Tribolium castaneum: one gene and its partner. The protein of the gene in region 1 interacts with the protein of each later gene in a pairwise test. Links are inferred from orthologs where the notes say so. Each region holds a gene or a part of one and is shown on either strand. Other genes may lie near its edges.

What was found.
Region 2: the proteins of Pak (region 1) and dock interact in a two-hybrid assay, tested with the Caenorhabditis elegans proteins (2 studies listed by BioGRID). The link is inferred for Tribolium castaneum from reciprocal best matches to the Caenorhabditis elegans genes pak-1 and nck-1.

What each region holds. Positions count from the first base shown.
Region 1 is NC_087398.1:14,076,426-14,080,252, forward strand, and holds part of Pak (serine/threonine-protein kinase Pak), read left to right. Parts: intron 1-611; coding exon 612-813; intron 814-865; coding exon 866-981; intron 982-2,860; coding exon 2,861-3,079; intron 3,080-3,130; coding exon 3,131-3,214; 3' UTR 3,215-3,827. UniProt on the Caenorhabditis elegans protein: Required for hypodermal cell fusion, together with cdc-42 and ced-10, leading to embryonic body elongation, which involves dramatic cytoskeletal reorganization.
Region 2 is NC_087398.1:11,591,403-11,595,709, forward strand, and holds the start of dock (SH2/SH3 adapter protein dreadlocks), read left to right. Parts: upstream 1-1,382; 5' UTR 1,383-1,545; coding exon of another isoform or gene 1,546-1,564; intron 1,565-1,622; 5' UTR 1,623-1,710; coding exon 1,711-1,822; intron 1,823-1,876; coding exon 1,877-2,103; intron 2,104-4,307.

The DNA of each region.
Region 1 (3,827 bases):
AAACCATTGCCTAAAAAGTAAAATCAAAATGAGCTTAACGAAAAAAAAATTATCCATAATAATATAAAGTTATTATATTGTTTTTTGTAAAGTTTAAAAAAAATTAAGGCCCAATTTCTGGTAACGTATTTAATGGAGAGATTAAATTTAAACCGCAGTTAAAACAGCAACACCAATCAGATAAACATTACCGTAGCAACTATAGAAACGCCAACGTCGCATTTTACCGAATTATTTTTTTAAACAAGGTTGATAAAAATGTAAAATAGTTATTAATGATTAGATCTCTTATTGGAACTGTAAATTCATTTTAAAGAACGTTGGCATTTCTATATAGTTTTGAAACAGCTAATACATACATATGTATTATTTAACCATGATATTATAACAGGAATCCCGATAGCTTTATAAAATTTATTTTGTGTCGCATTTTTACTAGACCAGTCTTATTTGAATAACCCTGTTTTTAGTTGGCAGTTTTGAATAAATTTATAATTTTAATTATAAAATAAAAAAATAAGTTTAGTTACAGAACAAATTGAAAATAATTTTTAGGTTTTGTCTGCTTAAAATGCTTTATTTTCCTACCCATTGTTGATGTTGAATTCCAGGAACTCTGGGTTGTGATGGAATATTTACCAGGCGGTTCACTGACTGACGTAGTAACGGAGACGTGCATGGACGAGGGTCAAATCGCGGCTGTGTGTCGAGAAGTCCTTCAAGCGCTCGACTTTCTCCATTCAAACCAAGTCATCCATAGGGACATTAAATCGGACAATATTCTCCTCGGACTTGACGGCTCCGTCAAATTAAGTACGTCGCCAATCCATATCCAACCTCTCCTTTCTAACTAATTATTTTGCAGCTGATTTCGGTTTCTGTGCTCAAATAAGTCCCGAACAATCAAAAAGAACGACGATGGTGGGGACGCCTTATTGGATGGCGCCGGAAGTCGTCACGCGGAAGCAATACGGCCCTAAGGTAATTTTACAAACGGCACAAATTAAGTGCACGAGATTTTATTTAAACGTAAAATGTTTTCGTTCAGTAAAAATATTAAATGTACAGTAAATAAATTTACATTGGAAAAAATTAAACGCTAATAGTAAACGCTAGATAAAAACAAGAAACTTTAGGTGAAAAAAGTAAACCCTAAGGTGTCACTGCAGGATAACGCTTCACAAAGCTAGGCTTACAGATTTAAATGTAGCTTAAAAAAATCGAACTGCACCGTGACATTTTATTTATTAGTTAAGCTGCCAAAAGTCTACAAATATGTGAAACTGTTGCGTATTTTTCTTTTTGTTTTACTATCAAGAATAAAATAGTTCAATGAAATTGAAATTAGTGAGTACTTATTTACTTCGAGCCTTCAAAAATTGCTCCTGAATTGAGTGAAGTCAGAAAAAATGGATGTGTAAACTTTCTTGTTTAGATATTGTAATGTGGGTACCAATAAAAAGTCTAGGTATATTTAGCTTAAGCACGGAAAAATGCAAACGTAATAATTTCAATAGATGAAGTTGAAAATCGGACAAACTATAACTCAACAAATTTGAAACAGCCCGCTAATTCAAAATAATCGAAAAAAACAGTGTGATAGAAGACGCCCAAAAGTCCACACCAGTTTCAAAGTAGTATTCTAAAGTTACAACTTTAAAAAAGCAATTATTTAAATTTTGGAAAAAAAAAGAATTCGAGGTAATGATAAAAAGTCTTTCGCAATTATATACCTACAGTTGAATTTATTACCACGTAGTAGCATTTACACTATATTACTATACTACTATATTAGTTAGTGTCCATTTATTTAATATTTAGGTTTTTTTTTTGGTTGGGATTAAGGATTTGAGGACCAAAATAACGAATTTGAATACCAATTGAAAAACCAATAAATATAAATTAAAAGATGAAGTTAAATTAACTTTTTATTTTACGAGTAAGTATTTTCAAGGAAAAACATTAATATTACGAGGGGAAGTTCAAAACTAACATTAGTTACATTTTAGGTTTCATCCCGTTGTCCCTAGCTATATAAAATTTTTTAATGCCTCCTCACATTTTTGAAATGTCGGAAAGATGTTGAAAATCCTTATCTAACTTTGAAAGAAAAAAAAAATGTGTCTATTTTTGCGTTAGGGGTGATTTATATTTGAAATTTGAAATCTGAGTAATCTTTAGTTTTAGACTAATTTAATTTAAATAAAAAAACACAAGTTGCTAGCTCATCTCCGTATCGCTAGTTAACCTTACTTCAAAATGCCAAGTGGCGCATTGCTGTTGCGTATTGGATACTAAACGTTTATTATTTTTACTGGGCAAAATATTATACAGAGTGTAAAGTGATTCAAAAGTGTCGGACCAACTTTCGAATGGCGACGTATGAGGTTTAGCTAAGCATAAAAATTATATCAGATTTTTGTTTCAAGAGCAATTTTTCTGTTTTTTTTTCTCATTTGTTGCTCTTTTCTTTCCCATGTTGTTTTATTTATTTATTTTCGAAGTTGCCTATTTTGTAAATGTAGTATTCTGTATAAAATAAGTATGTTGATTTTTTTCAATAGGTATCTGCTTAATATTGCAAGGTCCGCAATTTCCTTTAACTAAATCAAGAAAATATAATTTAATAAGCTAAAAACTTAACTCACTTAACTTACTTAACTCACAATTTTTTGTCATAGGAACTTCAGTACCTTAATAGGAACTTTTAACTGAGTTAAATGTCAGCTGTCAGCTAAAAGTCTGGGACCCTGTATTATACCGATCACTTTTAGTTTTTTACTGCGCAAAAATTAATTACTGATGGCTTTATTACCCTTTTACAAACAACAGAGGTACAAACGTAAGTGGATGATTTCAGGTCGATGTGTGGTCGTTGGGCATCATGGCGATCGAAATGATCGAAGGTGAGCCGCCGTATTTGAACGAAAATCCGCTGAGGGCGCTGTATTTGATTGCAACCAACGGCAAACCCGATATTAAAGATAAGGAGAAGTTGTCGCCCTCCTTTCAAGATTTTCTAGACCAATGTTTGGCTGTGGAAGTCGACAAAAGGGCGTCGGCGCGCGATTTATTAAAAGTAAAACACCTGGAGGTAACCCTGATTTGAAGTAATTAATTCCTGTTTTAGCATCCCTTCTTAAAGTTGGCACGACCGTTGGCCAGCCTGACGCCGCTCATTTTGGCGGCGAAAGAAGCGGCAAAACAACACTAGCGATAAGTTTCAGGCTTTTGTCCTGTTCGTTATCAATTTTCTTTTGTATTATATATACGTGAGAGACTATATTCCCATGTTACTAGAAATGCATTCGATTTTTTTAAAACAATAATGTAACATAATCGTATATTTTATTATTTTAGCTTGCAGTTCTAGTTATATGGGTCGTATTTTATTAGGGACGTAAGCATTTAATAGAGGTCTGATGTTCGTATAAGTGACAGGAGACGTGTGCCTAATTTCACAACAATAACGCTGCGTAGGGATTTTTCGTTTCGTTGTCACTAGCTTCTTTTTATGCTTTTGCGCTTGATTGATCGAAAATGCGATTTTTTGTAGCTACAGGGTAGTTCCTGTTTTCGGTTTTATTCCTCTATAAATTCTATGACCAGTCTTTGTATTAAAAAAGTATCATTTTATAATCGAAATTATTTATTATTTTGTTAACGTTTTAGTTTCATCTATATTTTGTTAAGAAGAAAAACTTGTAAAGAAATACTAGGAAAAGCTATATTGTAAAACAAACGCCTGTCAAAGGTCTATATAGATGAAGAATGAGTGTTAGTCTGGATGATTTAACTAGTTATAGTATTTTTGCACTAGTATTTAT
Region 2 (4,307 bases), about 2.5 Mb from region 1:
GTTTTTGAGCAACCAGTATATTAAAATTTTAGTTATTTCACTTAATAAATGAGGGATAATAGCCTAAAAATAATATTAAAGCTATTATTAGCTAAAAATTTAGACTACTGAAGCAATAGTTATATTTTTTTTATGTTTAAAGTTAAATGTCTTTTGAACAATCAGCAAAAGACACTTAACTGTTAGGTAATGCTTTTAGACAGACAATTTAAAGGTCTTTTAGATGCAAAAAAATAGGTTGTTTCATTTAAAATCAATAATTTATTCAACTTTCAAAAAAACCTCTTCATTTTTTATCTTTTTGATTACAGTAAGTTAAAAAATTAAACCCCTTAAATTTTAACTTTCTTTTTTAAAATGGTAAAAGTCATACTTTTCTAGATTCTTAGTTTTTATAAAAATATTTATTTAAAGCGTTTTTTCCTCAAAGAAAAAATTTAAAAACTAAGCAAAATCGAGCTGTATTCCATGTCAATTCATAAGTTCATAGTAGAATTTTGAAAATGGAGCACAAAATTGAAAGTTTCTGGTGAGTTTTCTTAGCTCAAAACGTGTTGCTGAAAATTATAGTTTAACACAGAATTCTTTTCTTTTACAGAAACTCTCAATTTGTGCTTTATTTTTCACTTTTCACTCCAAAAAATTCAAATGCTTTATTGCAACTCTACTATAAACTGAAATGTTGTGTGTTTCACACAACTTCACGAGTCCTGCGTCTAATGTATGCACCCAAATATACAAAAATCACAAAACACTAGATACGTTCAATTATACAATTTTTGGAAACCCATGACAGTAGTTATCAAACTAACCACTGTTTCATTAATTGTCATGAATTGTTGTTTTCAGGAACAATTTTCATGTGTTTTATCAAGAGAGGAAATGAATGTGATTTTACCCTATCTAACTCAAATAACTAACTAAAAACGTTGTAATTTTTAGAAGGGGTGAACAAACTAGAGAAAACTATCCAATTTAAAAAAAATTGTAATCGAGTTCGTACTGGAATATGTATTGTTGATTGTATTTTACAGGCGCAGGCCTCGTAAAACTACATCTAACACCCTGTATAACAATTTTGCTTAAAAACATCAGTTTGATATTTTGTCCGGTGTGAAAGTGGTTTGTGTTCAGATATCTTCGGAAATTGAAGGAACTGTCTTCACACAAGTAAACTATAGCTGGTCCGCTGCAACTTTGCCGTTTTCTGTACTTTGGCACTTATTTTATTTTTATTAATGTATTTATTCTCGTTTAAAATATTTACTTTATAGTAGTTTAAATTGTGTAAGTAACAAATCATTGTAAGAAAAGAGGTAACAAAGCTAGAATTGGGGTAGAGGTGTTGTTTGTTGTTTAAATTTGGCGCGCTGCGCGTCAAGGTCAGCGTGGGGCGCGCCCCCTGTCGCCATTTTCCGCAAAAGCTCCCCTGTGCGATTGTGATGTCTTCTGAAAATACCGTGGAGGGTGGGAGCAATAATTTTCTATGTGTGAAACTGTTGCAAATGGTGCTTCAACCCGACCACTGATGTGTAATAAAGTACTATGTCCAGTTTGAAAATCGGTGAGTGTTTGTTTGAGTGTGAAAAATGAATATCTTGTTTTGGTCCCACCCCCTGTAGCATCGGCCCCCGGCATGTAATCGTCTCTCATTGTTGTAGTGGTAGAAGCATGAATGTGGGCTAGCACTAGATAGTTGTGCTTGTGGTCATGTTGGAGACCAGATCTGTTCGGGGAATGCCAGAGCCTTCTTGGCAGTCTAAGAGTAATTTCGGCGCTAAATCGACCCCCCATGCGATGGCTGCACCAAACATACGACATGGTAGTCTGCCCCTGGATTTTCAAGGGGGCCTTTTGTGATTGTGGGGTGTTTTAGGCAAAACTGGGCAAGATGACATTTGCCATGTTGTGGCCAAGTACGATTACGCCGCACAGGGCCCCCAGGAGCTCGACCTCAGGAAGAACGAGCGCTATTTGCTCCTCGACGACTCCAAGCATTGGTGGAAAGTGCAGAATTCGAGAAATCAAGCCGGTTATGTGCCAAGCAACTATGTTAAGAAAGAGAAACCGTCACTTTTTGATAGTATCAAGAAAAAGGTAACGGTATGTGTATGGGGCTTTTATGGGGCTCTTAAATTTTTACGCTTTCCCACTGTTTACGCCAATCTTTAATTAGATAGCACATCAAATTTTAACACTAATGATTCGTTTCCAAGCTCTTGAATTAAGAAAACAAACAACTGGGTCAGAAACTACCGAAAGTTTTTTAATCAAGACGGCACTTGACTTGTTCAAGGCCAGAAATTGACTTGGCTATATATTTGACGGGAAGAGACAATATTAGGCGTAAAAATAATTAAACTTTTTATGTTGGCATTATGTAAATTACCCAAGGACAAGCGAGATAAGCGTGTGTCATCTCCAGAGATTTTTTCTAAAAAGGAAGCATAATCAAGCGTAAACATGAAATTATAAAGCCTTAATTAAACATTATTACGTTTTATTTTCAACTGATTATTGTTCAGGTAGTGTTTTGTGTAAATAATATTTTTTAAAATAGTGAATAACTAATGTCCGTTCCAAATTGGTGTGCTGTATTTAAATACTAACTTCCGTTGCTGGGTAACACCTGACATAATGTCAAATTTAAGCTAAATATTTTTTAAAATAAAGTCGATTTTATTGAAAAACAAGTGGAAACGTAATTTTCTTCGACTCTGATCTTTGATAGCCTAATATTTTTTATGTTGACGACATTGTTGTTGGAAGTAATTTGCCTTAATTTCACTATTTTCCTTATGAAAAACCTTAACTTTAAGAATTAACTTAACTTTCAAAGAAATTCTAAAAAATGTTATGTTATTTTGCCTTCGATTTAGTTTGTTTTTGAACCACAAAGACTTATGTTTTTTTATGTATTTACTGTGCAAGATTTCATTAAAAACGTGCCCAAAAAATACAAAATAAGTTTAAACTGATGTAATTTTGATGATAAACCGAAAAATTACCAAATAAAATCTAAAATGGTGTTAGTTTTAAGTTTTTCAAACATGTAAATGCTTTTTTGATACGAAAAACCCCAAAAATCATTAATTAAGTAGACTATTATCATTTTTCAGGTGGTATCGCGATTAGTTATGACTGTTAGTTAATTAAAAAATTACTTTATATTTTAATTTTCGAACCTATTATTACGTCTACAATCAAAAACATAGGTGTTTCACTTAGATTAAAATTTTTAAAGTGCTTTAGAAATATTTCAATAAAATACACAAAGAATCACATAATTATGTGGCATTTTTTTCCAATACAGCCAAAAAATTTCGAAAATGACAGTTACGATGTTTCGCTTGATTTAAGTTGGTGAGTAACAATTTTTTTAGTAAAACTTATTTAATTAATAAAATTAATAATTAGTAATAAATAAAATTATGATTACTTTCAATATACTTTTCTTGAACACATGTGTTATTTTCTATAAAAACACAAAATTATGTTAATTGTTATAATAATTTTTGCTGAATTTTTGAAACTTCCTGTTCCCTTAATATTAAAATTCTCTTAAACGTTCATGAGAAAATTGACACGGATAAGTTGATTTTGTAACAGTGTTTTGTTATCGCCATCAGATATGAAAACAACTCTAGTTAACGGGACGACAAAATGTAACTGAAGTTTAACATTACTAGAAATCTGAACTTAATTTTATTGTTTATTTGTAAAGAAGTATAAGGCGTAAAATAAACTGAGTGAAGCGTTACCGTAAATCCGTTATGAATTATGAAATGAAACATCAATCTAATTGGCCCGAGGGGCCGTTAACTTGAAAAAAAAAATGTGTACTTAGAGGTAATTCTAATTATCAAAAAAAAAAATTCACGGAAATTCAGTTTCCAAAAAAATTACCGAAATCACAATAATTCATCGTCAGAATTAATTAATTAATCAATTAATTCCTGTAATTCTAATTTAAAAGTTGTAATTCCAACATAATTTCTATAATTCTAAGAAATTGAACGTACCAAAGGTAATCTGGAATAATTCCAAAAAGAATTCCGTAACTCCGAAATAAATTATATAAATTCTAAAGATAATTTTAATAATTTAAAGTACATGATTGTAAGCAATTCCAATCGTATTTTAAAAATTTGCACAACTAACTCTACACGGCTTCTCGATGTGTTTCATAAAACAAAAACAGTTTGACGTAAGATTGTCTTTTTTTTACAAATGAGCAACCAAATAATTTTAAAAGTAATAAAACACTCGACACTTCTGTGTCTTATTTGGCAATTTTTTCTACACTC